2 linked regions of the Drosophila melanogaster genome follow. The protein of the gene in region 1 purifies or fractionates together with the protein of each later gene. This does not show direct contact. Each region holds a gene or a part of one and is shown on either strand. Other genes may lie near its edges.

Region 1 (16,357 bases):
TTGTTTTTTTTTCGTTTGAATTCTTTAACAATAAAATTGTAATTTAGCGCTACACCTTACAGTTTAATAGTCGCCGGTGCAGCATATCCATATATATTATGCATATATATAAACAAAAATAACAGTGAACGTAATAATATGATGCATTATTGTATATTTTGGGCGATCCACTAGCCTTGATCCCCGGCACTCAACTGCGTCTGCTACTCAAGGATGTGGAACTCTAGCACTGAGACGAGGATAATGTGTGATGATAGATCGAAACAGTCGAGTGCGTGGAGCAAGGACAATGGACATAGCTAGGCTACGGCTCTCTACATGGGGCTGGTTAGTTATAGTACCGGGTGTAGATTATGGGGCATTGTAGGTCTGGGGGAGACGTAGTTCTCTGGGAGCTGTTTTCTGCTGTATCTGCTGTTCCTTATATTTTGTAACATCTCAGTTTGAAGATTTCGGCTGTAATTTGATTACAAATTATTGAATTTTTCCTTCTGCCGCGCGAGCGTGTGCTTTACATTTTTGCTCTTGATTACTTTACAACGATCAACATAAATATATGTATGTATATGCGTATATCATTTGAAAATTGTTTAAAAAAAATATATATATAATTGTTGTAAATCAAAGGTTGTAATACATAGGTAATAGTATTTTACAAGAAGGTTATCTCATTTCAAAGTAACATAGATACAGTATCATCATTAGCATATACTTTTAACAAGAATTTCGCACTTTGCCTAAAAATGTCATATTGTGTGTGTATAGGGTGTGTGTGTGTGTGTGTTTGCGTGTTGTGTGTGAGAGCGAGAGTTTTGTGCAGAACAACAACTACGATTTAACCTCCGACTATGGAGTGATAAAACTCTCTCACCGACTCCTCGCAGAGTATTCATACAAGCAGCTGGGTCCGGGCGGGCCGGTGGTGGGGCAGTGGCCAGGCGGTGGTTTGGCGGAACGGCAGGTATTTCGAACACCGTGTCGTCCCCGCCTGCCCAGGTGGCCCCTGCCCTGGATCCACCCCAGCCATCATCCCATTTCCTACCGCCAACTAATAGCTACGCTTAGGTTTAGCTGTCGCTGCTGCTGCAAACGTTTCGAACGCCGGCCCCGCTCGCGGCCACGCCCACCGGCGACGCCTACGTGCTGAAGCCCCGCTCGTAGGGACTCTTCACGTCCGTGTGCCGCGTGTGCAGATTGATTGTTGGCCCGGCGGGCCGCGTCGACAGCTCGCACACCGTCTTAATGGCACCGGAGGCATTGACCGAGGTCGGGGCAGAGTGCAGGGTGGCCGTGGTGTCCTTCTCCTTTGCCGCCTCGCGCTCCTGATCGATCTGCTCCTCATCCGTAGTCCTCGGCAGCACGTAGTCCGCTTTGCGGGGCTCCGAGCTGCCCGTAATTGACGATTTGTACTGATCAGCGTCCAGGCCGCACAGGTAGAACTTGAAGAACTCGTACGTCGACCAGCAGATGGCCGTGGCGGGCATTGAGTACAGAACGCGGGCGGTCGTGCCCCTAAAGAAGCCCAATGGACCGGCCATGTGGTAGATCTGTGAGAGGGCAAAGAGCAATAAGTATGGGAGATTTCATTCAACGCGAGACGAAGCTACTGTGAACTATGACCTTTGTCAGCCAATTATAAATTGTGAATTACAGACACATTTGCAAGTTCGTAAGCAGTTTCTCCAGTACAGATAGCACCATATTTACCTTTCGACTGGCCTCGATCATGCCGCGCGTCAGTCCTGTCTCCTGAGTATTTAGTAGCGTCTTGATCACGTCCAGGGGCGTGGTTACAGCCGCCGCACACGCACCGGCTGCTGCACCCGCTGCCATATGCACTGGTGGATTGTATTTGCGTTCCAGATTCATCTGCCGTGCACACGAAGATTGAGTGTCGGTTACTGAAAGGATGAGTTCGTTGGGGCGTACTTACTTTGTTCTGGAAAAACTCGTATGTGGTAAAATGTATTGTCTGATATGGTAGATTCATGACCAGTTGCGTGCCATATGCCCGGTAGAAGGCCTTGAAGCCTTCCCTCTTGTAGATATCCCGCACGCAGGATACCACCGATGTGTAGGGCGAGTTGTACATCTGCATACGCTGTTTGATCACATCCGTGGGACTAGAAATGGCGTCGTGTATGAGGGTGGCCACCGCTCCCGAAATCACTGAAATGGTCAAATGGGCTTGATTAGTAATCCCTCGGTGCAGGAGAACATGAAAACCTTACCGTAGTTGAGGTTTCTCACCGATGTGAACTTGGCCGTGAGCTCCTTGGTCATCTCGTAGGCGGCAAAGTATAGCGAGTGTGCTGGTCCAGCACCCAGCACCACGGCGCTGGCTCCCCGAATGGGTCTGCAAGTCGGCGGTTACAGTGATTACTCGATATGGCGGATAGCACTCACCTTAACAGGCCTTCACGCGTGATCATAGTCCGAAGGGTTGACACTATGTTCATGTTTTTTGTGGGCGGTGAAAGGCTCTGCATTCGCGTCTATAAGTGGGCAATAATGGAACGTTTAAAATAATTGCATATATATTTACATTGTGCATTTCACAATGGCAGTACTTGTTATTTTATTTACTCATTGTTTGTCCTAGATTAAACTGGTTAAAGTGGTGCGTCAGGGCTACTAACTTTGGCTATGATAATACATAAAAAAAAGGTAGATTAAGTCGAGGGTAGTTAGCCGTATAGACTCGTTGCTCGTTGCTTTTCTTCTGCAAGTCATGGTTACTCATGATATGCAATACAGAGCCCAATACAATTGTGGGGGATATCCAATATTCATTTCGCTTACTGACATTGCCAAGACCTTAGAACGTGCTCTCATCATGATTTGTGATTCAGAACTGATGGGGTGATGATTTCCGAAACTATTTCAATCTGGCTGTCGGCGAGAATCTAATTGTGCAATGTGGCAGCCGAAAAGGGAAATAATTGTTCAGAATATGCATAGATCTCATCAAAAGAAAGTTTTTCGAATTTTGTTCGTCCCATAATTGTCGAGATAAGGGCTATATAATCTGTAAACAACAGCAGGGACTAATAATTGATATCAGTGGAATATACAAATATATAATTGCATGCTTCCCGGCAAAACTTTCGCTGATTTACGAGCCAGTCACTCGGAGCCTAGAGATTTGCATTTGCCTACGTATTTAATGATTGCATATGCACATACATATATATATATATGTATGTATATATATATATATCTGTTCATACTTAATTGTACTTATTTAAAGGCGTGCCTGTCGAGCACACAAGTCGGAATTATATCTGGGAGCAGAGAGCAGCATCCATATTGTAAATTACGAAGGCCTTGGCTTTGCGATGCAGATAAGATTCACTGGAACACGGCCCAACTGCATTTATCTATCTGCCGGCTGGCTGCTGCTATCAATAACAAGTCAACAATGCCATCCAAGGTGAAAAGTAGCCCCTCGAGTGGGGGAAATCTAATTAAAGGGTTCTCTGCGACGAACTGATAGAAGTTTCCATTGCATAAAAGCCCGATAGAGCTGCGTTCGAAGAGATCGCGGAGCCAACATGATTCATTCATCCCGATGGTGTATTGTGTGTGTGCCGTGATAAGAGAACCCGGTGATAGGTAATTATTGCAAGCAAGCGGCCTCAATTGGTGTCCAATTTGGTTTTCCGCTCTCTGGCTTTTAAAACTTCACGAATTTTAGCTCGTCAAACGGACTGTGTCCAGAATCTAGATTATAACGATGACGCCGGGAATACCGACCAGGCTTTAGACTGGCAACCAACTGCCTGCCGGCTGTCACTTGCGCGATTGACACATGTGGCCACGAAAATCAATAAGTGCTCGAGCCACCAGCCAGCTGAGTGAAATACAACGAAACAAGAATCGGTCAATAATAGGTATTGAATGCGTGGTGTACATATGTACATATTTACATATAACCATATACATATGTGTATATACTTGCGGCGAACGTCATTACGAGGTGGGCATTTGCATACGCTTAAGTGGCGGACTTGTGCACTTGGTTGGCCCTACCGAATTTTCAGAAGAACGATGAGAACGCTCCGCCGATAAGAGCTAGTCCAATTACTATGGCTAATCTTATCGCGGAAGCATAAACCAATGGAACGTGCTACGATAAGCGTTCAGAGCGGCTATATGTGGCTATACCACCCAGAGCTCTTAATGAGAAACGCAACTCTTGGTTGCACTCGAGACGTGGGCAATTACATCACGATTATGCCAAAGCAGCGGCGGCACACACAAAATTCCGATTGATAGTGAGGTTAGGTCGTGTTATGTTCATGCCGCTGCTCCTCCGATTACCAGGCGGCCATGCAGTCTCTCTCACCTTGACGGAGTCCAGCGGATACATGACCACATGCTCCAGCACGCCCGCAATTGCGCCCGCCGTCATATTGACACCCACACTGGTGGTGGGCAGCGATTCGTAGTCGTCGATGTTCATGGTGGATCCGAACGGTTGCCGTCGCTTTCGATTGTTGAGGCTGCTGGTGGGGCTGCACTATCGACTGTGTTGTGTGCTAATGCTGTGGTTGCGCCCTTGCAGTCGCTGCTCCTCTTACGACAACCTGCTAATCCGGACCAGTTCTGCCAAGTCGCTGTTGCAGTTGCTGCTGCAGAGCCGCTTTCTCCGCTGGGATCGGGTCGCTCCGCCTGTCGAGGATCGGCGTTGGTTAGCGGGCAACTCTTGGCCGGCGTATGTCGGGCACTTTTGGTGCAATTTTGTTGTATAACACGGATAACACGACGATTCACGGACGCACGGGCGGGTGTATTTCGGGGGGTGGTGCTGCTGGCGGAGGCGGCGGCGGTGGCGGTGGTGGTGCAGAGTGTACGCGTGAGGTGGTCTTATGCGAAACTGCTAATTGACACTGCTGTTGCACGACTAGCATACAGACGACATAGAGACGATTCCCCGATTCAACGATTCACGCGAGGAAGCAATTTCTGGTTTAGTTGCTCGCGGCTAAGCTGCTGCTGCTGGAGTGGCGGCTGCGGATCGGTTGTTTTATGAATATATAAGAGTCGGTTTGTGGCCGAAGCGGAATTTTGGCTGGGTCGGTGTTTGGCAACTGACGCAAATGTTGTATGATTACAGCGAATCATTAAATTTCGCCCAATAAACAAGCCTCGTGCCCAGAGTGACCGCAGCGGGAACGTCGCAAAATACCAAAATGGCTCGGGTGAAAATACCAGCACAAGTCCACCCACATGTGGGTGCGGAACCTTAACGCCATGGCAAATAAAAATACCAACATTAAAATATTTAACTTAACATTGTAAAATAAACCGAACGGTACAAAATCATATGTTATATATTCTAAAACGAAATGGATTTCCTTGATCTCTGTCAGGAATTTATATTTTATTTCAATTCATATTTTTATCATTACTTTGCTATATCAATAAGTTCTCAGTTATCTATTTTGGCAGCTTAAAAATTGTATATACACGAAGTTGTTGTGCAACCGACCGAAGAATTTATTATTTTAAAGCTTAGTTGTTGTATACATGAAAAGATACTAATTTGTTTCAAATATAAATCATATATCTACCGGCCTAAGTGTTCCCTTTTGTAAACTATTGATATAAGAATGTAAATTATCAAATTAAATATATTTAACAGTAGAGTTTTGACACTACATCCTCTTGTAAACTAAATCCCAAATAGATTCTATGAATGTATGGGCTTTCAAATAAGCAAACATTAAATTTATTTAAATTACACTATTTTCGTGCTCTGTGCTGTATATATATCCTATTTCCAGTGCAGCCCCTGGTATTTCCTTCCAATGCGCTTAGAATGTTCCAGCGCCGGAATACGGTCACTCTGCGAGGCATTTAAAGGCCTTCCAGCCGCTTGTCGGCGTCAGTAAAAAAAAATCAAAGCAGGCGACGCAAGTGCGGACTAATTTATTGCATCTGTTATTCGTGACGTGGCCTTTCGCCGGACGAACCGATAGCTCGAGCTCCGTAAATCAAGCTACCAAAGATCATGAAGTACTTTTTGCTGGTGGGCCTGCTGCTCCTAGCAGGTAAGTGTGCACATTTGCCACGCCGCATTGAACCGGTGTTTTAACCTAATTATTAATTGGCGTCTGATTCGCGTCTGATTAGGCATCAATCAAATAGCCGCCGATGACGAGGCCGCCACAACGGAGACCATCGACCTTGATCTGGGCTCCTTCAAGGAGGGCTCCCGCACCGGTACGTAGACACGCCCCCCTCTCGCGACGACGAGTTTTGTTTGGTACACGTCAGCGTTGCGATAACCGCCCCCTTTTTCTAATTCCCAATCCCCCAGATGCCGAGACCCTGAAGCGCGAGGAGGAGGCCATCCAGCTGGACGGCCTGAACGTGGCGCAGCTGAAGGAAATTCGCGAGAAGGTGGGTTCATTGCCAGGTCATTTGGAAGGTACACGTATGACCGGGATTTCCTTTCCCTTTTTTCTTTGTCTTTTGTCTGTGCGTGCAGGCGAAGAAGTTTACTTTCCAAACGGAGGTCAACCGCATGATGAAGCTGATTATCAACTCGCTTTACCGCAACAAGGAGATCTTCCTGCGTGAATTGATATCCAACGCCTCCGATGCCATCGACAAGATCCGCCTATTGGCTCTGTCCAACAGCAAGGAGCTGGAAACGAATCCGGAGCTGCACATCCGCATTAAGGCCGACAAGGAGAACAAGGCGTTGCACATCATGGACTCGGGTATCGGCATGACTCACCAGGATCTGATCAATAACCTGGGTACAATTGCCAAGTCCGGCACTGCCGATTTTCTGGCCAAGATGCAGGATCCCAGCAAGTCGGAGGGACTCGATATGAACGACATGATTGGACAGTTCGGTGTGGGCTTTTACTCCGCTTTCTTGGTCGCCGATCGTGTAGTGGTGACCACCAAGCACAACGACGACAAACAGTACATCTGGGAGTCGGATGCCAACAGCTTCAGCATCACCGAGGATCCCCGTGGCGATACTCTGAAGCGAGGATCCGTGATCTCGCTGTATCTGAAGGAAGAAGCCCAGGACTTCCTGGAGGAGGACACCGTGCGCGAGCTCATCCGCAAGTACTCGCAGTTCATCAACTTCCCCATCCGCATGTGGTCCAGCAAGACCGTCGAGGAGGAGGTGCCCGTGGAGGAGGAGGCCAAGCCCGAGAAGAGCGAGGATGACGTGGAGGATGAGGACGCCAAGGTCGAGGAGGCCGAAGATGAGAAGCCCAAGACCAAAAAGGTTTCGAAGACCACCTGGGACTGGACCCTGATCAACGACAGCAAGCCCATCTGGACGCGCAAGCCCGCCGAAGTGACCGAGGATGAGTACACTAGCTTCTACAAGAGCCTGACCAAGGACTCCAGCGAGCCCCTGACCCAGACGCACTTCATCGCCGAGGGCGAGGTGACCTTCAAGAGTTTGCTCTACGTGCCCAAGGTGCAGCCATCGGAGTCCTTCAACCGCTACGGCACCAAGTCCGACAACATTAAGCTGTACGTGCGCCGTGTTTTCATCACCGACGAGTTCAACGACATGATGCCCAACTACCTGAGCTTCATTCGTGGCGTCGTCGACTCCGACGATCTGCCCCTGAACGTTTCCCGCGAAACTCTGCAGCAGCACAAGCTCATCAAGGTGATCAAGAAGAAGCTGGTCCGCAAGGTTCTCGATATGCTGAAGAAGATCGACAAGGAGGCGTATGAGAAGTTCTGGAAGGAGTTCTCCACCAAGTAAGTGTCGCTTTCTAGGAATTAAGAAACGTTCTTTGCCTGTTCAAATAATTAGTTATTTATGATAAGCATTTCCGCAGAATCCATTATAATATGGAGAATAGAATGACGTGTATTATTTTTTGCCAACAAATTAATATATTTAGTTTGTTGCTTTAAAGAATTCCGCGCTGATAAGATAAGGAAATCCACGTAGTATTATAATATTGGCACTGGTGACGTGTAGAGTTTATACTTAAATATTTTATTTTAGTTAAATAAGCATTTCCATTAGCTATAACCTCGAATTCTTGGATTTTCGTTGCTTATCAAGACTTAATTGACTCATTTCAGCATCAAATTGGGCGTGATGGAGGATCCCAGCAACCGATCGCGTCTCGCCAAGCTGCTCCGCTTCCAGACCTCCAACGGCAAGGGCGTCACCTCGCTGGCGGAGTACAAGGAGCGCATGAAGGCCAAGCAGGAGCACATCTACTACATCGCTGGTGCCAACCGCGCTGAGGTCGAGAAGTCGCCGTTCGTCGAGCGTCTGCTGAGCAAGGGATACGAGGTGCTGTATCTGGTGGAGGCCGTCGACGAGTACTGCATCTCCGCGCTGCCCGAGTTCGATGGCAAGAAGTTCCAGAACGTGGCCAAGGAGGGATTCCAGCTGAACGAGTCCGAGAAGAGCAAGAAGAACTTCGAGTCGCTAAAGAGCACCTTCGAGCCGCTGGTCAAGTGGCTGAACGATGTGGCACTCAAGGATCAGATCTCCAAGGCCCAGGTTTCCGAGCGTCTGAGCAACTCGCCATGCGCCCTCGTGGCCGGCGTCTTCGGCTGGACCGGCAACATGGAGCGTCTGGCCATGTCCAACGCCCACCAGAAGTCCGACGATCCTCAGCGCACCTACTACCTCAACCAGAAGAAAACGCTCGAGATCAATCCCAGGCATCCGCTGATGCGCGAGCTGCTGCGCCGCGTGGAGGCCGACGAGGCCGATGACACCGCCAAGGACATGGCTGTGATGATGTTCCGCACCGCCACCCTGCGGTCTGGATACATGCTCCAGGAGACTTCGCAGTTCGCCGACAGTATTGAGCAGATGATGCGCCAGACCTTGGGTGTCTCCCAAGACGAGCAGGTGGAGTTCGACGAGGAGGAGGAGGATGATGCCGAGGAGACCGCCACCGGCAGCCAGGAGAGCGGCAACGCCGATGATGAGGAGGAGGAGCAGCAGCACGACGAGCTGTAAACTACTTCACCTCACCCACTGTCCAAATAGATTGTACATAAGAGTGTGAAGTTCAGACTGAGTTTTAAACCGCCACCGGGTGGCCGGGCGGGCACTCCATCAACATTACACGCTAGATTCTAAGTAAAATAATTTCGTAGTCCTTCGCCCACGCCGTCATCACCGCCAGTCGCCCAGAGAGCACTCCACCATTTCAGCCAGCACACTTGGTTGCTCAAGCGTTTTCTTTTTTCGAAAGCAAGTGAATTATGTATTTATACAATGTAATATGCTTAGTACACAACAGATTCCAATCAAAACAAATAAAGACAAATGAATTTAAAACTAAAACAACTGCCTATTTAATATGGCGCGCAATGTAAAATTTCCGCAATCGGATACCAAAAAATAGTTAAAAAGTGAATTGATTGCTCGATCAGTCAAGATCGGAACTCAGCGGCTCATCGTTCAGGGCCCTCAAGTAGGTGTTGTACTTCATCTGGTCGCGGATCTGCTGCACGGCCTCCGATTGGGACAGCGTGTATGTGTCCATAAAGAGGCGCACTATCCACAGCGGGAGCAGTCCGTTCACCAGCAGCGACGTGTGGTTCTGGTAATCGGGACATGTTAGGATGGATATGTGTGTCACTCCAGGACGCCCCAAACTTACGCTTCGACTGCTGTAGACCTCGCCCAGTTTCTTGAGCATCTGCTGGTGAATGCTCTTGCTCAGTATGTCGATGACGTCCATGTGGGCAATGTTCATGTAGTGACTGGTGCGCGGCTTGAACTCGCGCTCCTTGAACAGCTTATCGAAGTCGCTGCGATAGTTTTCGAACGTATTCAGCACCTCGTCCTCGCCCATTTTTTCCAAGAGTCTGAGCCAATCAAAAGAACGCAAGTTGAAGGCACATTCGTGTTCGCTTTATTTGCATCTAGTCGAGTCACTTACAAAATCTTAACCTCGCGCGGCTTGGGCGTGTCCAGCATGCTGTCCAGCCGCTGCAATGCATTGAACCGCCCTCCGTCCATGTGTTCCACCTTGAAATCTTTGGCCGGCACTGGCGATACTCGTTTCACTTTGGGCTTGGGTCCTCTGCTCTTGCCGCTCCTGGTCTCGCTGAAAATGGCAGCCAGGGAAATGATGAATGAAACTGATCGCTATAGCACCATATTTCTATGGCTTACCCAACTACGAAGTTTTTGAATCGACTCGGGCGTATGGGCGATCGGCCGGAGCGGCGTGCAGGCTTGGCCTCAACGGAGCTGGATCTGGAATTCCTGCGAATAGATCAATAGGCTCTTAGTTCTCTCACATCCTAGCCTTCGCCTAACTCACTGCTGTGATGGACTGTGCGATCGCTTAATGCGGTTGCTCTGCTGCGAGGAACTGGGGCTGCTGGAAGAAGCCTTATCCTTTTCGCCTCCTTGGGAAATGGACCTGCGCTCGCTCTTGATCTTGGTTGGTTGGCTGGCCGTGGTGGAGCTCTTGTCATCCTCGTTGTCGGCGTCAATGTGCTTGGGCTTCGATTGTGTGCTGGAGGGGAAACATGCAGTGGAGAAAACATTAAAATGCATTCAACTTCGGTACATAAAATGTGAAAGGTGCAAAGGTGGTTCATAGCTATTGGGATCAAAAACCACACAATCCAAGCCTATGGAGTATTTGGGACTAATTAATAGGGTTTCCTACCCCGCTTTTGGCTTGGATCCTGAGTTTGCTACGCGGATCTTGCGGGATGTGGGTCTGGTGCCATTTGTTTCTGCTTCCGTGGCAAGCTCGCGCTTGGCGGGAATGACGTCCACAATGGTGGTGTCCTCTTGTGTTATGTACTGCAGCTGTAGGTCCAGGCAGAGATCCTTGGAGCTGGACTCCGTACCGGCCAGAAGAGCGACCGTTGCAGGATGCGACTTATTGGTCGCCTGGACGCGCACGATGATGTGATCGATAATGAGCTCGGTGTCCAGTTGGTAGGCATCCTGCCACTGCTTCAGGTTCTCGAACAGGCGCCATAGACCACACTCAATCCGGCTCCACCGATCCGCGGTCATCCAATGGAAATCATTCTTGGATTCCCGCTCAAAATGGGTCACAGGTGTCGGCAGAACTTTGACGCTGCAGATGACGCGGTGCTTCTTGTACTGAAATGGGAGCTGCTTTAGGACATGGCGGATCACACATCTCAGTGGCTTTTACCTGGTATAATTGCGAAATTAGTTGGCAATCACCGATGGCGGAAAATGACATTTTTATAAAATTGCTATGCGTCCTGATGTGACCGTAGCCGCTGACAGGCACAGCAACAACAATTCGGGGCGGATCTTTGGGCACACTACGAGCGCTTTGGTGGTCTATCGATTGTATTTTTTTATCGACGTTTGGGCGGCAAAAAAGTATCAACTTAAGCTGAATTCAATTCATAAATATTCATTATCTGGAGAAAACTGCAAAATGTTTTTTTGGAACGTGACAAGAAATACTTTTACGTTTTACCACAGAGATCTCTATAGAAAGTATAAAAATAGTAATTATGCATAATGAACATATTAAGAATCCACCTGATATATGCATTTATTTATAAAAAAAAACAACAAAGATAAAAAAGTGTTAAGTGTTAATTAGGACAAAAGTTCAGAACGTGTTCACAATGTGCAATCGTGTGACACAAGTGACGATGAGATTTTGAAACCAAAACTGAGAATTGTTTTTACTCTGAATGAATGAGGGGCGCTATCAATGAATCTCCCAGAACTTACAAATCCTTATCAACAGAAGCGTGTGGCTTAGGTCAAGTCTCGCCAAGAGAACAGCCGGACTACACAGTGCAGCAAAATCGTTCCCATTCTGCGAAAGTGGTTACCTAAAAACTAAGTTGGCTAGAGAGATAGCTTGGATGCCCATGACCTCCTCCTTATTATTCAAAGCAGTGGCTTAGAATGCGCACCAAAGATGGTGAAAGTGTGCGGAACGACGTCATAGTAATATAATTCATTATAATCTCTGTTGTCCAGTGCTGCTGGTCAACATGATTGCGAAAAAAAAGCACACGCCGATGGGATCGGAGAGATGCTGCTGCTTGCTCAGTTCTCAATCGCGTTCCGGATTAGGTAGTCGAGCTTGTTGGGTTTTTCAAATAATCCGGGTCGATCGATCACTGGCCGCACTACTTTATTATATTATACAAACTGCGTGTGTGCCCTGCGAATCGGACCAATATGCTCTCAATCTCGAGCTACTTTCGACTGCCCCTATACACGCGGCTGGCAGTTTGCATCCTGATCTGCGTGATTTTGAATGACTGCGAGGCCAGGAGTATTGGCGACGAGTCCCATGAGAACGCGATTACGGATGAGACGGCCGACTACCTGCGATCCCATGGCGCCATGATGAAGTCCTATATGAACTTCAGCGTCGATCCGTGCGACGACTTCTACGAGTTCGCGTGCGGCAACTGGAAGAACGTGAAAACGCCGCGGCAATCGCCCCATAGGCGGAGCAATATTCTGGACATCAGCTACACACTGATGGACGTGACGGAGCAGCTGCTGACCAGGACAAAGTTGGCGGAGGCACTGAACGTGTCCGCCGAGCTGCTCGTTGCACAACGCTTCTACAATTCCTGCCTGGCGGCCGAGCTCTTTCCGCGGCCCGCTGCCGATCCCGCTTATCTATCGGTTATCAGGTCGCTGGGTGGTTTTCCCGCCGTCGACAGAGACGCCTGGAACGCCTCCAGCTTCAGTTGGTTCAACATGAGCGCCCATCTCAGCAACTACGGCGTTCGCAGTTTGATCCACGAAGAAATTCTGCCGCAGCATCCCTTCAATCCGTACTTCAAGCTACCCGAACTGGGCTTTGACCATGTCGTCCACACCGCTCACGTTGCCAATACGAGCTCGCGGGCCTACCAGCTCAACGAGCATCGCATGCGTGGCTACCTGAAGGAATACAATCTCACGAAGGATGAAATCTCTGCCGTGATCGAAGGCGTCTTTGCTTTTTGGAGCGAGGCGCTCAGTATTGAGGATAAGTTCGAGAGCGATAGGGATAAGTGCGATTTGCTCAGTGAGATTGAGGAGGTGCCGCGATTTGGTCAGTGGAGGAGCTACTACGAGATAGCCTGGAATGGTATAGACTTTTACAACGGCTCGTCCGGTGGCGAATTCTGCGACTTTTACTATGTGGAGCTCGACAAGGTGTGCGCCAAGCATACGGAGGCGGTGGCCAATTATCTAGCCATGCGGTTTCTCTACCGCATGGACGACAAGCTGAAGGAGCCCAAGCAGCCGGAGGACCAAAAGGTTAACTGCTTGATGATCGTCCAGATGACGCTGCCAAATCTGTTCAACAGGCTCTACATGGCGGTGAGTTGGATGCTGTGAATATGTGAAGCTTAGCTTTTCAATTGATATCAACTAACTTTCATAGGAGCACTTCACCGACGAGAAGCACTCGGAGATCTCTGACATGGTGACCGAAATGCGAAAGGCCCAGCGACAGATCCTCGAGAGTGTGGAGTGGTTGGACGCGGAGACGCGAGCAGAGGCTCTGAGCAAGGAGGCCGGCATCACGCCAGTAATCGGCAGTTACAAAAACGAAGAGCTGTCGGACACTCTAATCCGCGAGATCAACAATCTGACCATTGTTGAAGGCAGCTATGCCCAGAGTTTGATCAATCTGCGAGTATTGGGCACCTATCTTCATCGCTACGCTGGCTTACATGCGGACGAGCTGCCCAAGGACACAAAGCCACTGACACTGCTCGTGGGAATGCAGGTGAACGCCTTCTACTACAATCTGGATAACTCGGTGTACGTGATGGCGGGAGTACTGCATCCGCCTGCGTACCACCGTTCATGGCCCGATTCCTTGAAGTTCGGCACCATTGGCTATCTGATAGGTCACGAGTTGACCCACGGCTTCGATACGGAGGGCTCCAGTTTCGACAGCGCCGGCGAAGTACGCGACTGGTGGTCCAGGAAGTCGGAGGCGGTATTCCAGGAACGGGCGCAGTGCTATGTGGATTACTTCAACCAATACTTGATACCGGAAATCAACCAGACAATTCGCGGCAATGAGACAAGGGACGAGAACATAGCGGACGCCGGTGGCTTGAGGGCCGCACTCACCGGCTATCGAAACCACATGAAGCAGCTGCAACGAAGTGGAGCGGATGGGGAGACGTTGGCTCACAAAAACGAGCAGATGCCCGGCCTCGACCTGTCGCCGGAGCAGCTCTTCTTCGTGGGATTCGCGCAGCTGTGGTGCGCCGACTACGAGCCGGAGCACTACTGGGAGGAGCTCACTGGCGCACATACCGTCGATAAGTATCGGGTGCTGGGTGCCGTTTCCAACAACGACGATTTTGCTGAGGTCTACAAGTGCCCACTGGGCAGTCCAATGCATCCGAAGGCTGAGAGTTGTCGGATGTGGTGACCATAAGTCGTATATAAAGGAAAAGATGTAAAATACTCTAGATGTTCAACTACAAAATAAATGAAAACAGGAAAAATAATGCAAATCGACGATATAGTCTTACACATTTCTGCAATTGAGTTAACTCACTCGACTTTACCCATTTACTCTTAATAGTCTCTTTATTTCTAATTGGTTTTAATGAGCAACGTGCTCTGAGGATTTGAAGGCGTTGGGTCCCCGGTAATTCTCGACCAGCAGGGATTTGTAGCGCCTCAGGTGGACGCTGAGTCCTTCCTCGCGCTCGCTGACGGAGAGGATTGAGACGCGGGCCACGACCAGATGGGAAGGATTCGATTGACTAAAGCCTCGGATTACGTCGATTTCATCGCCGACTTCCAGCTGTAAATGGTAAATCATAAGATTGAATTCGATCTATATATGGACTCCATACCTGGGCACTCTTTTTGGGCAGCTTCTTTCCATTGACGCGTATCTTGCTCTCGTAGAAATTCAGTTCCACTTTGCTGTGGGAGGTAAGACATCATGGTTATTGGGGGCATTTAGAAAACCTTCGGCTGTTTCTTACTTTCTCGCCATGCCCAGGCCAGCTTTCAGTAGGAGATCGGCGCGCAGTGAGTTCACCTTGGTCTTGACCACCTTGGAGTCCCTTTCGTCCTTGAAATCCTCATCATCCTCGTCGTCGCTGTCCAAGTCATCCGATGCTCGTGAGGATTTCTTGTCGTACTTCCACGCTGAAGCACTGGTGTGTACAGGAGCCTGCAGCTCTAAGGTGGTTGAGAGTTTAGGCAGACTTTTAGATGGAAATGGCGTCCTTAGGGATCTTCCTAGTCGGGCTATTTGACGAAAAGTCCGGAGCATTTTGTGTGGGCGCCTTAACAATTACGATAACAAACTGAATAACATAACCTAAAAACTACAGCTGTTGCGGTGGCGTTGCCAACCATCTCTAGGACTTGTTTGCCTTTTTGTTTCGTTTCTTTTTGGGTTTCTTGTCGGGATTAGGACGCACTTGGTAGACAGTAAGGGGGCGATAGTTGTGCAGATCTGCGGGCAGGAAATCATCATCATCATGTGGCTCCACCTCCATGGGCTCTGGGCTGGGGGACTTCTCTTTTTTAACAGGGTTATTTTTGACTTCTACTACCGGCTTTTTACTTTTGGCTTTCATTGCCAAATTACTGAGGGCATTGCCCAGTTTTTGGGTCTCCACCTGGACATCCACGCGGTCCAACTTTACTGAGGGTTCGTCCGAGAAGCAGGATATGAAATCATCACCCCAATCCTTCTTTTCAGCCACTGGGAGCTGCGGTTTTTTTTCCTCTTCGGCTGGTTTGATTATTTCGGGTTTCTTCTTGGGTTTTTTGTGCGTTTTCGGGGCTATCTTCTTAGCAGGTGTAGGTGTTCTCTTTCGGGCAGTAATCCACTGTTCCAAGTCCTCGCTTATTGCTTTCAAATCTAATGGCAAGGCCAAGGAAAGCGCTCTAACGCCAAAGATTTCCTGGGTAAGCTCCTCCAGTTTGGGCTGCGCGTAAATGGGAGCCGTGGGCATCTTGACAGATGCACTGGTGGCCATTAGACGGACGAGGTGAGTTGGTCGCAGGCTCAAGGAAACCAATAGGCAGGAGAAACGCCGCGAGTTTATGGCGCGTAGGGAGCTCTCCAGGCCGAGATGTATTCCGTATCGAGTGGCAAACGATTTGGTCTGCCCGTCGCTGCTTTTAATTGCATTCTGAAGGATCTGACGGAACTGCTGCACTTCCTCCTCCGATAAAAGAGGGCTAAAGTCAAAAGAAACAACCTGTTGATTGGGTTTTTATTGGTTTCTGCCCGCCTCACCTGTGCTGTTTGTAAGGATTGGCTAGAATATTGCGCAGTTTGGGCAGCAATTTCTTTTTGCCCTTAGCTTCTTTCTGTTTTATGCTGGACAAACTCATGTTTACGATATAAACTAATAAAAAATA
Region 2 (14,252 bases), on another chromosome or scaffold:
AGCGAGGCTCCATGGGTCCAGTTCGAAAGTAGTAGCCCAAGGTCTTGATGGTGGCCTCCAAATATCCGTGTGAACAAAGCCAAACACCGGGACAAGTGAGCTGAAAATGGAAGGAGCCTTGATGTCACAGGTACACTTCAATCGACATAGCCACAAACCGCATGGAGCTGCAGATCTAACTTTACGTAGAATCTCTTGTGGGACATTTGCTGCCTGATCCTAAGTGAAAGTCTGCCGGAAAATAGCCAACTGCTTGGGGCGGGAATCGAGAATTGGGGGGCGAAAGCGCATGGTTCTTTGTTTTGGAGCCCACTGGTTGCCGGGGCAGCGGTTGAAAGTGAATTTCAAAGTCGATTACTGGTCGATAACGCAGGGAATTTTGATTGATAAGCAAAAGAGTTGAAAGTGATGTGTATAGAATGTATAGTGTAACTATACAATGTGAAGAGTACTTAAAGAATTGAATAGTTTTTGAATTAATTAAGAAATAATACAAAAATATGATAGTAAAATACTAAAAAAAATCTATTTTAGAATAATTAGCTAACTCACATTTTTCCATGTTTTCATTTTCTATAGCTTTAACTACTGATAATACGGCTTCCGTGGGAACAAAGTATTTCTCACAGTGATAGCAGCAACCGATAGGAAATCCCGACCACAATGTGCATCACTAGTCACAGCAATAGTAAACAGCGGGCACAGTCCACAAAGAAAACCATTGCCGCCGGTAGAGATGGCTGCAGTTTCGGATATTCCAGTGCACCTGCCCAAGCTGCTGGCTCTGTTCAAGACGGTGGTGCCCAAGCTGGTGAACAACAAGCACAAGGGACAGTACGGACGCATTGGAGTGATCGGTGGGTCCCTGGAGTACACCGGAGCGCCGTACTTCGCGGCCATTTCCTCGATAAGAGTGGGCGCTGACCTGGCGCATGTGTTCTGCCATTCAAATGCGTCGGCCATTATCAAGTCCTACAGTCCCGATCTTATCGTGCATCCAGTGCTAGACTGTGTGGATGCAGTGGAGAGAATAGCGCCCTGGTTAGAGCGACTTCACGTCGTTGTGAGTAGCCCCCCCCCCCCACCTACATACGTATATGCTACATTTATACAATTAAATGCTAAATTTAGAATCGTTAAGGTTATTGGACCTGGACTGGGTCGGGAGCCGGGCATCCTGAAGACGGCATCCAACGTACTCAAGCTGTGCATGGACACCAAGAAACCAGTTGTCATAGACGCCGATGGACTGTTTCTGCTCAACGACAATCTGAATCTGATCTGTGGACAGCCGAATGTCATACTCACGCCAAATGTCATGGAGTTCCAGAGACTGTTTGGCGAGGATGACCAGGCGGCGCGCCAGAAAATGTCCCTCCTGGGAGCCGGAGTAACTGTCCTGGAGAAGGGCGCCAACGACAAGATCTATCTCCCTCACTGCAACGAAGTTCACTCAATGCCTAGCGGCGGTTCCGGTCGCAGGTGCGGTGGACAAGGTGACCTGCTCTCCGGATCTTTGGCCACCTTCTTCTCGTGGTCACTGCAGTCGGGTGAACCCAATCCCGCCCTGGTAGCTGCATGTGCCTCTAGTTACTTTGTGAAAAAGTTAAACGCGGCTGCATTTCAAAAGTTTGGCCGCAGCCTACTGGCCAGTGACATGGTCAATCAAATACCCAGCGTATTTCAGACCGAGTTCGAAAACAGCGATCCTCAATAGTCATTTACTGGACTTTGAACTAATTCCAGCTGTTTGTTTTTTAAAACAAGGCGACCATTAACCGAATTTTCAATTATCGTGGGATTTTTAATGTCTTTAACAGAGAACATATTGGAATGGATAGAAATGTTATGGGAATTTTTTAATTGCATTTAAACAACGTAAGAACATCTGGTTCGTTAATTTGAAAGCTGCATCTTGTTACAGATAAAATGTTTCGGCATTCATAATAAAACCATATTGATTCAATTTTAATAAACCGTTTAAGCATGACTTCTGTTTTAATAAACAAATAAAATAAAATAAAAGTTTTTTTTAAATGTATGTAGGATAATAAATCATAAAAAAGAAAATAGATTTGATATAGATTATTTTAAAGGTATTGGCGGGAAAAAGCTAAGTCGTCGGTTCCGTTCGGTTGTTGGTGTTTTGCAGCACTGGTCTTCTCGCGAGCGGCATTTCCACGTCAGGTTTATTATTGTTTTTTTGGAATTTATCAAGCAGTGAAAATGCTCCTCAAAAGACTGCCTGGCTTTGTAACACTCTGGGTCGTCCTGCAGTTAGCCGGAGCTGATTCGCCCGAGGAGGAGCAAGGCGTTCGCTACGCAAACCGCTGCGAAGCCTGCAAAATCCTGGCCACCGAATTGGAAGCTCGACTTGGAGAGACCGGCAAGTCGCACGACGTCATCGAAATCGGATACTCCGTTGACGATGTGAAGCCCAAGAAGCGCACTGAATACCGGCGCAGCGAACTGCGACTGCTCGAGTCCCTGGAGAACGTGTGCGAGCGAGTGTTGGAGTACAATCTGCACAAGGAACGCTCTGACAGCACGAGATTCGCCAAAGGTATGTCCCAGACCTTCCAGACGCTCCATGGCCTTGTGGACAAGGGCGTCAAGGTGGATCTGGGAATACCCTACGAGCTGTGGGACAAGCCCCCGGTGGAGGTCACCCAAATGAAGACCCAGTGCGAAAACCTACTGGAGGAGTACGAGGAAACCATCAGCGAATGGTACTTTAAGCACCAGGATGAGAAGTCACTGAAGAAGCATCTCTGCGAGGACCATGTGCTCAAGAAAAAGGCCGAAAGGGAATGCCTCAAGGAGCAGCTTGCTCCTCCGGAGGCTAAAAAGGCCAAAAGGGAAAAAGCCAAGGGCGACAAGGAGGAGCTGTGAGCCAAATAATCCAAGTATATCCTAGGAATCCCTACCATATTGTAATTCCATGTCGAAAAATGTAGATGTAGTGCAGCTGTTGTCGATGCAATTTTTAAAAGTAACACAAATTTTAGTTTTTGAATGAACTCAAGCATTGACAAACTAAATGTAGTAGTTACTTAAATTCCAATGATCTTACTTTTTTTCGAAATGGAAATCATTTTAAGTTTTACCACCTATAGAACAAAGCGAAAAGTGTTTAATTAGCTTAAGTGAACTCACTATGTCTCTCAAGCTAATCTGTATAACTTCCACAACGACTGAGCCACAGAATGCTACTGAAAGTTTCGCCTGGGGCCATTGGCTTATTGATTTCGGCCACGAATTGGGGTCGACAATTAAAAGTTGACTGCCCTCAATGAGGTGGCCAGTCATAACCCCCAGCCAGAAATTCAGGTGTTCATGCCATGTCCATGTCAATAAATGAGATTTTGCGCATTTTCTAGGAACCTACGGCACTGAATGGAAGAGAGTTATCCTTAAATACATGTACATTTTATAACTAACATTTAGTATTTACGATTAAATATAGATTATCTGTGCATACACATTTTGATTTTACTGGGGCACCTAATATGTCGTTTAAAAGGTATCTCGTCGCGAAACCTTTCAAAGTTTAAAAACAAATTATTTTGAATATACCCAATTTGCATTAAATGAGTTTGTTTAATTGTCTGTAATAAATACTTCGCGTATATTTCAAAGTAAAAAATATTATTATAATTAGTATTGGATTTTCCATCATTAGGTTCTAATTCGAAATCACTACGGGTATCTTTTAGTCGTGGAGTTTTCCCGCCCAAACGAGTTTTGTAAATTCAGAATCTAATTCGCAGTGGCGGGCGAAAGAACCCCTAGTTATCCATAAGCTTAGAGCTTCATCACATCCCAAGGATCGTCCATATAGTGCAGGATGGCTTTGTCGTGCAGTCTTTCGCCAAAAACCTCCTTAAGCAGGCGTAGAACGCATTCCTCAATGAATGCCACCTGATCCTGGGGGCAGTAGTCATCTTGAGCGGAATGGGCCATTGTAATGGCCACTGGAGGAACTGGCAGGCGCTGTAAGAAACGCTTGAAGTTTGCAAAGTACGTTTCCAACTCTTCGGCGATGCTGATGTGGTGGGGCAAGCCATTATTATCGGTGGTGCTGCCCGAATCGAAGATCAAATGCCAGTCGATTTCATCGTCTGGATATTTCTCCTGCAGCTGATCGGCCAGTTTCACAATCTTGGCGTACACTTCGGGCGTGACCACGGTCTCGTCCGGCTTTTCCAGTCCCTCGAAATTGCGCTCCTCCTCCAGATGCCAGAAAATCGTCTTCAGTGCATCCAACTGAGTCTGTCGCCTCTCTGCCGTGGCCAAATAATCTGCTATAGTAGCCGTGCCCGACTTCTTCACCTTCTCCACGCTTTCGAAGTGGAAGATCTCCTTTAGCTGATTGTAGCAATCGGCATCCTTGTATATTTCCAAGAAGGGGTTGGAGGTGCTGAAAAAGTCGAGGTCTATGTCCAGCACGAATCCCTTGGCGTCCTTCTCCGTTAGGAATTCGTTCGGATTGAGGCTTTCGTTGTCTGCATCGTGAACCTGCAGCTCCACGCTCTTGGCATCCTGCAGATCCTCCGTAGTGCAGTAGTTGCCGTCGGCAATAAAGTAGTCCAACGGACAGTCCACTCCAATGCGATCGTCCTTTTGTCCAACCTTAAAGTCGTGCCTGCCAGTGGGCAGCTGCTGGCACCATGAGTTCTTCAGCCACACGACGCGGTTGAAATGTCCTAAGAGCAAGTAATATAGCAATAAGTTATTATTTTACACTAATTTCTATAAGAAAATGCAATTATAGCTAATTAATGTCATTAGACTCATCACAGTTAATAAGTTTTTGGTTTGAAATCCTTTAAATGTAGAAAGGAATCTTTTTGACAACAGTACTCAATGGATATTTAGCAGTTACTAAGAGATAATCTTTAAATATTAAGTTCTTAGTAAAATTAGACCATAGAACTTTTTTATTTGTCCTTTTACATTGTTTTCTATTTCTAGAAATAAAATAATAGCATTTAATATTATATTTCTATATAATATAGTTCTCTTCGATTCCCCATAGAAATCCTCACCTGCATAAAGTGTGGGCATGATCCAGTTCTCGATGCTAAGCTCATTTAACATGGTTTCCTTTTGGTAGGTGGAACTGGCGGCAATGTGCCGTGGAATGACCAGATCCGGATGCGAGTCGAAGTGGACAAGGGTGTTGTTCTGCAGCGGAAGGTGGCGGGTGGCAAAGCAGCGGTAGATGAACTCCAGCACATCGTTGTGGTAGTCGACGATAAAGACGGGGATGCGCTGGAAATGCCTTGGGCTGATGGTGCCGCCAATCTGGACGATGCCCTCGCCATCATCCTCCTCCTCATCAACGCTCTCCTCGCTATCCTCGTCTTCCTCCCGATTCTCCTCCTTTTCGTCTGCAGTCTTTTGTCTCTTTGTTGGCGGCGCCTCTTCTCCCCCACCCGCCGCAACCCACTCTCCCGAAGTCGGCTCCCATTTCTTCGAACTTTCGGGACTTTCACTTGGCGATAGTTTTTTTAGAGCAGCCGCGGCACTCTCCTGGTCCAGCGTATCCGATTCCATTTCCCTCGGGATTACTTTGACTGTACAACTGGGTCCTTAGCACACTGTTCAATTACTTGCACGGTAAGCAGACTTAATTTCTTTTGTATTTAATATTTTGGGGGTCTTTGACCATTAACAGCTGTTTGGCAGTGTGACCAGATTGCTGTCTAGCACAAGTTTCCCGTATTGCTAAAAATGGTAGCCCTATAATAAGGTCACATTACATAGGACCCAACTATCGATGTATCGATTAAAGTTGTGTCCGTTTAATTTAAAAGTTTTTTCTACACATTTTCCATATATTGTACCTTATTTTGTCAATTACTTGAGACGTTGAGTATTTTTTGATATAACTTAAAATAAATTTGATTTTTTAAAGCATTCGCTTTGAAATCTAGAATCTAGAATGTAGAATCTAGAAAATGTTAAAAATGTTAAAAATAACAAAATTTATTAAAAACTAAAAAAAAAAATATTTTAATATTATCAAAATAGTACACCTATTTCTATATTCATATCACTTTGATAGTGGTAAACGAAAATAAGAAGTAAGGAGAGAGTATCTCATAGTCGAGACACTAGGGAGTAACCTTCTTCTTGCGACTCTCGTGCAACCAAGGAAAGATTTGAATTTCAATTTGCAAGTTCTTGAAACAATTTTTCGAACAGCAGTGTTCATTAATTAAACAGCACTTTATAAGCTCAGCCAGCACACGAGCTCTTTGCCATCCGCAATCCAAATGTCTCACACTCCCCTCCAGCAACTCGCCCCCCCCCCCCACAAGACCCTTTTATCCTCAACCTTCGGCCCACCGGCCACCCACATTTCAAGGTTACTTCAGATTTGGAGACTTTGCCTCCAATCAATATTCCGTGTGTATCCGCAGCTTGGACGCTGGCATAATGCGATTGCCATCGAGCGAGTGATGGGGGGCGGGGGTCGGGGGGTGCTGAGCGGCCTCTGGAGCTTTTAGCCCCCAAAAAGCTGGCCCAGCGTTCCGCCCACGCTGCGCAGAAGCTTTTCATTCATAAGTTTTTATTATATCTGTACATATGTAGTAGGTATATATTTGTATATCTATGTGTATATATATACATTTGCATTTGCAGCGGAGGGAATCGGACGCCCACATGGCTGATTGGAATGCGTAAAACACTGCCGCTGTGTGTGTGTGTGTCTGTGTATCTGCGAGTTCGACTTTGTATCTGTATCTGAGCGCTAGTATCTGCGTTCGTCTTTTTCGCCCTTTGCAGCTGGTGGAAATGAATGGCGCGGCTCGGTTGTCTGGAAAAGCGCCGACAGCGCTGCTCGGGCGTTGGCGTGCAATGTTTCCGCCGTCGAGCGTTATCAAAAAATATAACTGTATATAGACTTTTGTGGGTGTCCCTGTACATACATAGGCGACACTCTTCTTTTATTACCGTTTACATTTTATTTTTGGCCAAGTTTTCGCGTGGGCCGAAACACCCTCGGTGGCGTCCATTACGCCGAGTACCACGTTGCCATGTAAAATCTTTACTACCACGATATCTTAATTAATCCGTTTAGGATTGAAGTCTGCTCTCGTTGAAGTTTTTCATTTCATTGCCGTACAACTACAACTGCATCACTAGAAACTAGTAATAAATAGTACTTAAAAATTCACACATTTTCTTATCAAATTGTTACCAGTATAAGTTGATTTGCTGACCAAAATATTATGCTCAATTATAGGTTTTAGAGCAGTAATCAAGGACGAAGATTCCATGAAAGATCTATATCTCCATGTTACTTATGTTGACCGCCTAATTATCGAGCTCGCTGGCACACTGAGAGAAATTGTTTTTGATTGGGGGGCTTTCCCCAGCCCTTATAACGCAACGGAAGTGCCAACTTCGAGAGCATCGGCCCCTTAACTCGATCAATTGGCTGCAATTTGGCTTCTCGTTTTTGTTCTTGTATCAATTACAGCAGCTCTGCGCTTTCTCTAGCTGTCGCACCCAATTCTCGCAATTAATTTGCCTTCAGCTTGACCCTGGAGGTCAAACACTGGCTCGCATTAACCTTCGTTGGCCCCTCCGACGAATCAATTGGGGAAGGATGGCACGGATGGGCGATGACAACCACGATGACGATGGCAAAAAAAGGAGGAGGGGGGTGGCAGGAATTTCTACTCTTGATTGCTCTACTTTAAAATGAAATCCTATAAAGTAAACATCAAAAAAAGATACAGATTGATTGAGATTCTAGATATTACTTTTAGATTGCCACTCAAAAATACAGTAATCAGATGAACATTGAGATATTTCAATATTAAAAAAAAATCTTTCTTCTCCACAACAACTTTTAAACAACGTTAAAGAATTTATAATCTTTAATCTTTCGCTTATAATCACAATTGAAGCACATAAGCTTTAAACTTTAATACAATCTTAGAAAGCTTTTATGCAATATTTTCATTCTTTTAGTGTTAACAATCTTAACCGTAAAGTAATTAATATTTAAAATATTTTTACTTACTTAGTACTTATTCATACTAAATCGTAGTTCTTTCCCACGTGATGTCTTCAAACACATGATCTTGACTAAGTGATGAACAATGTTATTTACAACTTTTGCAATCAGTAAGCCGGTAAAGAAAGTGCAGAAAATTCATTGAGCAGCCCCCGAATGACGTCAACAGGATTTTGAGTCTGGCGTAGGTGCCCCATTTCCCTGTAGCCCTGTGAATTTTATTTTATTTTATAACTTTCCCCTTTGGAAGGAACACGTGGCACCGGCTGCTGTTTAAGCCACCTTGAGTGAAGTGGCCAAAGTGAAATGAGTCAGTGGGCCCGACAAAACCAATCCCAAAAGTGAGTACAACCAACGTCATTCGCATTCTAATTCGGTGAATAGGTAAGTCGTTTGGTCAGGTCGCCGTTTGTTTCGTATCAATCGTAACTTTTGCTCGCGTGGGCGCTCAAAGCCAACAGATTCTTTCACATCTGCCGTCCCGACTCGTCATCCTTTCTTCTTTTTTAGCGTCCGGTGCAGATCTGATTTTTTAGACATTTTTTAGCACTGGAAACAGATACTTCCCAAGAGGATTCACATTCTACAATGACGAATTACTTATCTTCAGATGAGGAGGGATATCAGTTCGTATATGGGATGAATCTTGGATTTCTTGTCAATCTATGCATGCTATTTGATATATAATTATAATTATCAAATAGTATTGTAAAACGAAAAACTTTAATTGCATTGTTGCAGAAATGTTAACTTATATTTATATTTTGTCATAACTTGTTAAATTCGTGTTCATTTATTAATGTCTGTTTTAATCAAAGCTATTATTAAATGATAATTTAATTTTTTATCACCGTTTTTGGCTACCAATTTGAACCAACACTTGTCTGGAACGACGTCATCGGAGTGCCCAGAATCATGGAGATTGGGAACATATGTATATATTGAGATATTGAGAATCTGTGAGATACTTCAGCCTCTTCGCTCTGGTCAAACGTCAAACGCACATTGATCGACGATTGTTGATCGACCATTGTTGATTCTAGAGACCCGTGGCGCCCACCGACATCCGCTGTTCATATGGGCGAGTGATTCACAGAGATCTCGCGGAACGGAACTCTGGGGGCTGGACATGGATATATGGATGTGGGCTGGATTCGAGAACCCAATTGCGAGTGTGAATGCGAGTGTGAGTACACACATTTCAGAACGGGCGAAACGGAAACATGAATGGCAGATAAGCGGACGCGCCAATTCTTAATCCCATTCCAGTTGTTTTAGGTCAGTAAAGCAGAATGCAAAACTAGTGTGGGAGAATGCCGTTGAGCTAACTAACTGCATTTAAGAAATAATTATATTGCTTCAGCTAGTTAATAAACGTCCAAATTATTAGAAGGCAATATTCATCTCGTAGCAATAATTATCCTATACTCATATGAGTTTTGTAACTATGAAAAGGTTTCAGCACAGCGATAACTAATAACTTGCTGGGAAATATCTGTTAGAAAGTATACGCAGTTAATGGTCTTTCTTGATAACAATGAGTGGAAAAATAACACCAGATAATGAATAAAACCCTGCAAAGCTCATATAAGTAGTATCGCACATTGCGAATCACGATGATCCATATTTCCCCCATTTCTCAGAACTTTTCACTCATTCAAGCCGATATGGCTATGACTGATCTATACACGCACCATATAAAAACACTCGGGAAAGCGTCATCATCTTCATATTGATTATACGTGGGGTCTGATAATCAAGGTAAAGGCCGTAGCTTGCGCAATTTAGATTGACAATCGTGAGGTGCAGAAATTTAATTGAATTCTTCACTTTCGACATCAGTTTCCTGCTAAAACACAGATAATGCCCCAAAGTGATTCATTGAGCTATACAAGTGGGTTGGGTATTCCATTTTGGCTGCGAGCAGACTTTGAACTTGTGTCATCGAAGAATGGAGCCCGGAGGACGACCGACCTTGGCTTCTACACTGTCAGAAATACATATATGTATCGCCAAGGTCAGCCCACCAAAGACACTTGGAAGGCGCAATTGAGCAGCCTTTTGAAACAGCTATCCAGGTGCTTACTTCTAATTTCTTCATACTTGAGTGATACACTGACAGTAATTATGTACAACTTTCGATGAATACAAAAATTAATGGTAATATGTGTGTTTACACTTTTGTGTTTACTGAAGCGTAAATAAATAAATGCTTAAATGATTTCATATTATAACAAATATTTCTTAGTATTATATATAAATATATATATATATTTTTTGTGTGTGTTTTTATTATTAAAGAAATCCTTTTGAAGTACGCATGTTTTCTTTGTATTGAGACTGCTGAAAGAAAATGTAATTTATTAAAGAGCCGCTCAATTTTTCCCTGTGCACTCCCTTGCAACATTCCGGCTGGCCTCCCACGCGCCAGGGCCGAAAGCAGAGTAAAGTCCTGGGGAATAACGCCCTTGGAATCTCAGGAGCCGCGTGCCAAGACGAAAGTGAGCAGCGAGAAATGCGTGGGCTGAGCATGGATTTCGTATGGCCGTTTCTTTCCCTCGCCGACTGTCTCCCTCTCTGTCTGCTTGGCTTTCTTTATTGCTCCAACGGTTTTCGCTGCTGCGTGGGACTTTCATTCATGAAAATTGTGCTCGAAAGTCGTTCGTTCGTACATCTGTATATAGTAGCACGTTGTGATGGGCCTTACCTAACGGTATATGGTGTGTATGGGTGTGCGTTTTATGTAAAGCTAGTGCAACGCAGGCGCAGCAGGAAGTTTGTTGTTTGTGGAGAAATTTTTGCACGCGCCGCATATCCTTGAAATTGTCCTTCCATGCGATTTCTGTATGGGTACACACGTATATCCTTGTGTGAGTCTCTTCTTTTTGGGTGTAAATATCAGGGTCATGGTTATAAAATTAAACATTTCATCGAGTCTCCAATATAACTGGCTCTTGGAGGAGCATTTGCGCAGGAGCTTTCGTTAGAGAGTAGACAGCGACTCCATTGATGATTCCGATTCTTCTGGGCTCCGTAATTTCTTATCTGTCTAAATTAGTGGTCCATTAACTTTTGCACTCTAGTGAAGTGAAATGTTAACCGCGCTCTCGCAAAAAGAGAGTAACAATAAAGTAGGTTCCATCGCGAAGGGTAAGGTGGGTGGTGGTGGGAGTAGTGGGAGAGTGAGAGAGAGCTAGTTTGGATGGCGAATTCAATGAATCAACACGAACACACGCATTTTACTTGCCACACGCATACCACAGCACAAAAATATCAATGAACTTTACACAAAACTTTGGGAGCGTATGCAGCGTGGAGAAATAGTCAAAGTGCCAAAAGAGTGCGGGAGAGAAAGGCAGGTGGGAAATTTGAAATACGAACCCAGTTATGAAATAATTATTTAACATACGGGAAAATATGATTATTTAATATATTTAAAAAATTTTATGTAATTTATAGAATTAAAACAAAGTCTTTACTTTATCTAAATTTTATTCAGGAACTCTCTTTGTATTTACTTTTTTCCCCATTTTTTCTCCTTTTTTAACCGAGCAAATTTCCAAGTGGGTCTGTGCCTGTGCACTGGCTCTTGCTCACCTTTTGGAGAGTTGCTCTTCTCTCCGGTTCGCGTACCTGTGTGCGCGGGTGCGTTCTTCCTTTCATTGCGTGTAACGGACTGTTTGTTTCGAAATAGTAATTCCCAAATGTATTTTTTTAAACGAGAAGGCAAAAAGATTCAATATTTTATAAGTTATTTCTTAATACTGCGCCTAACAAATACAATATTGTTATTGGGTTTCGCTCTTCGAATTCCGACGGAGAGAATTGGAGAGTCGGAGAGCAAGTGCAACTGTGTTCGTATTTTTGGAGAGCAACGAGGCTATTTAAGCAACCCACGACGCGCTTATTTTGTTATTGCCCGATTATCTTTTACCCGCGCTGCTTGTGTGTGCTCGCTTTCCATTCGAAAAAAACATCAACTCAAAATATGGATATTTGATAGAAGTAATTACCTATTTGTTTGGGAAATATTCAACGGTTTTTGGATGTTTTAGTTACTCGATGACAGGTTCACCGCACGTTTTTTCATTCGATTCCGAACTGTTGTTGTTGTTTTAGCGAAGCACACCTAAAAAATACAAAACCACTCACACACACGCGAAACATACACACGGTTGTGATTTGGCGCGCTCTTGTGTGCGTGTGTACATACAACAAAAAGCAAAAAGCAACGAATTTCGGTGTGCAAAGAAACATAAATCGGCAAGCGAGGAAATCGGAAAGCCAAGAAACAAAAAAAACAAAACAGTGCAAGTTACAGATTTCCCCAAACGAGATAAAAACAAAAATTCCTTTTTGATTTCCAAGATTTTCATCTGCGCGGGAGTGTGTGTGTGTGTAACAGCAACAAATACCATTGCACGGCCAAGAAAGAAGAAGAGAACCAGCGCGAAGCAGAAGAAGAAAGATGATGTAAACTTTGTTGTAACCAAAAGAAAAAAGAATAACATAAAAAACGAGTGAAGCAGAGAACAGAGCTAAACGGGAAAAATAGTGGCAGTGCTTCGAATTCTTCCAGTCTTTGAGTGATTTTTTGGGAGCTCTTCAAAATGCCAGAAACGGAGCACGAGACCTGCAGCAAGGAGTGGCTGCAGTCCCAGTTGCGATCCCTGGACTCCAAGGACCTGATCCTGTTGGACTGCCGCGGCTCGCACGAGTACAGTGAGTCGCACATCCGCGGAGCCGTCAACCTATGCATACCCAGCATCGTCCTCCGTCGTCTGGCGGTTGGCAAAATCGATCTGGCCTCCACGATCAAGTCGCCCGAGCTGAAGCAACGCATCCAGTCGGGCTACAAGCTATGCTGGTTCATCCTCTACAACGGCGAAGGCGTGCCCGGCCAGAATCAGGAGATCGCCGGAGCCGGATCCCTGGCCGTCGCCATGGACTCCATCATCAGCATCCTGCACCGTCGCCTCAAGCAGGACGGCTGCCGCGTAGTTGCTTTACAAGGTGAGTCATAAGTTCAATACTTTGGGTGCCCCAAAAAATAGAACTACAATATCATAATACAAGTGCGGGAGTTACTAAAACCAACTAAGGTTTATATATACCTCTCAATTCCCACATTTAAACTCACGTAATTAATCTTATAAATATGAATACTATCCATGTTGATTTCATAGAATATGTACATATTTGAAATATTAAAGCTTCAGTAATAGAAATGACTAAGTAAATCATTATAAACATAGTAGAAAACCGAAAAATTTCATCCAAAATTTCCCCCCTTAATCTCGTTTGATTAGAATGTAATAACTAAAGTAGTAATATTAAGATTTACATTGTGATATTCTTGGAATGCAATGAATCAATATTACGAATGGAATTTTTTGTTAGTTTACTACGCACCTGTATCGAGAACGGAACTCTCCATTTGTTGATCATAGCTGTGCTATCGGATTCTTTAAATGCCTGATACTTCCCAACACCGCCCATAAATCAATGCCGCACATTCCTATCCTAGGCCTAAGAATATCATAACTTATTTATACTTCCCCAATGTTGTTTGCGGCATTTTTAGCCCGAAACCCCCAAGGAAGAAACCAAAACAAAACAAAACAGCCGAAAGAATATTAATAATACAAGCAAGCACTGCCTGGCCATAAATAAACATTTGCATGGATTTGTTATTGTTTTTTTTTTTTTTCGTTTTGGCGAAACAAGGCAAGCATTCTGGGGGCGGAGACAAAATGACAAATGCAAAAAAAAAAACTAGCAAAATATAATGTAATCCGCACAGCTGATAAAGCTAGCGCCAGATTAGAATTATATTTAGTCTGACTGATCCTGTCCTCCTCCTCTCGCATTCTGATTATAGACATACACTGCATAGATTTCACCTTTCTGAACTTGTTTTTGGTTGACACGATTTTGTTTGACTTTGATAGAAAATTATAATGGCAGGAATTTGTTAGTTTATATATGCTGTGTCTTTTGTTTCCTTATCACAATTGCATGTAAGCTATATTAAAACTTGCGCAAAATATCAATCCAACCATATCGGCGGATATATATGTATATGTAGTTATACCACCCCGCATGCCCTTCCAATTATGCACTTTATTCTGAAACACTATGCCCCTCCTTGATTGGCCCATATCAATTAAGGAGCGATTTAAATATAAATGTGTTTTCAAAATCGTTTGGTATTTTA

What was found.
Region 2: the proteins of Gp93 (region 1) and CNPYb purify together in Drosophila melanogaster (affinity purification with western blotting; one study listed by BioGRID). This does not show direct contact.

The regions. Positions count from the first base shown.
Region 1 is NT_033777.3:27,942,846-27,959,202, forward strand, and holds Gp93 (glycoprotein 93), read left to right. Parts: upstream 1-5,865; 5' UTR 5,866-6,016; coding exon 6,017-6,056; intron 6,057-6,138; coding exon 6,139-6,228; intron 6,229-6,325; coding exon 6,326-6,408; intron 6,409-6,496; coding exon 6,497-7,749; intron 7,750-8,082; coding exon 8,083-8,980; 3' UTR 8,981-9,306; downstream 9,307-16,357. Other genes in the region: mfrn (mitoferrin), read right to left, coding at 1,137-1,547, 1,708-1,869, 1,934-2,169, 2,232-2,356, 2,407-2,495, 4,349-4,465; CG4951 (uncharacterized protein), read right to left, coding at 9,396-9,569, 9,630-9,837, 9,912-10,079, 10,148-10,240, 10,299-10,496, 10,653-11,101, 11,157-11,207; Nep7 (neprilysin 7), read left to right, coding at 12,176-13,321, 13,386-14,393; CG4884 (uncharacterized protein), read right to left, coding at 14,571-14,774, 14,827-14,899, 14,962-15,254; CG42487 (uncharacterized protein), read right to left, coding at 15,343-16,174, 16,233-16,330.
Region 2 is NT_037436.4:19,084,117-19,098,368, reverse strand, and holds CNPYb (canopy b), read left to right. Parts: upstream 1-2,151; 5' UTR 2,152-2,226; coding exon 2,227-2,892; 3' UTR 2,893-3,479; downstream 3,480-14,252. Other genes in the region: CG14079 (uncharacterized protein), read right to left, coding at 1-100, 159-206; Naxd (NAD(P)HX dehydratase), read left to right, coding at 737-1,063, 1,142-1,717; MESR6 (misexpression suppressor of ras 6), read right to left, coding at 3,805-4,706, 4,929-4,970, 5,049-5,559; Mkp3 (Mitogen-activated protein kinase phosphatase 3), read left to right, coding at 12,646-13,048.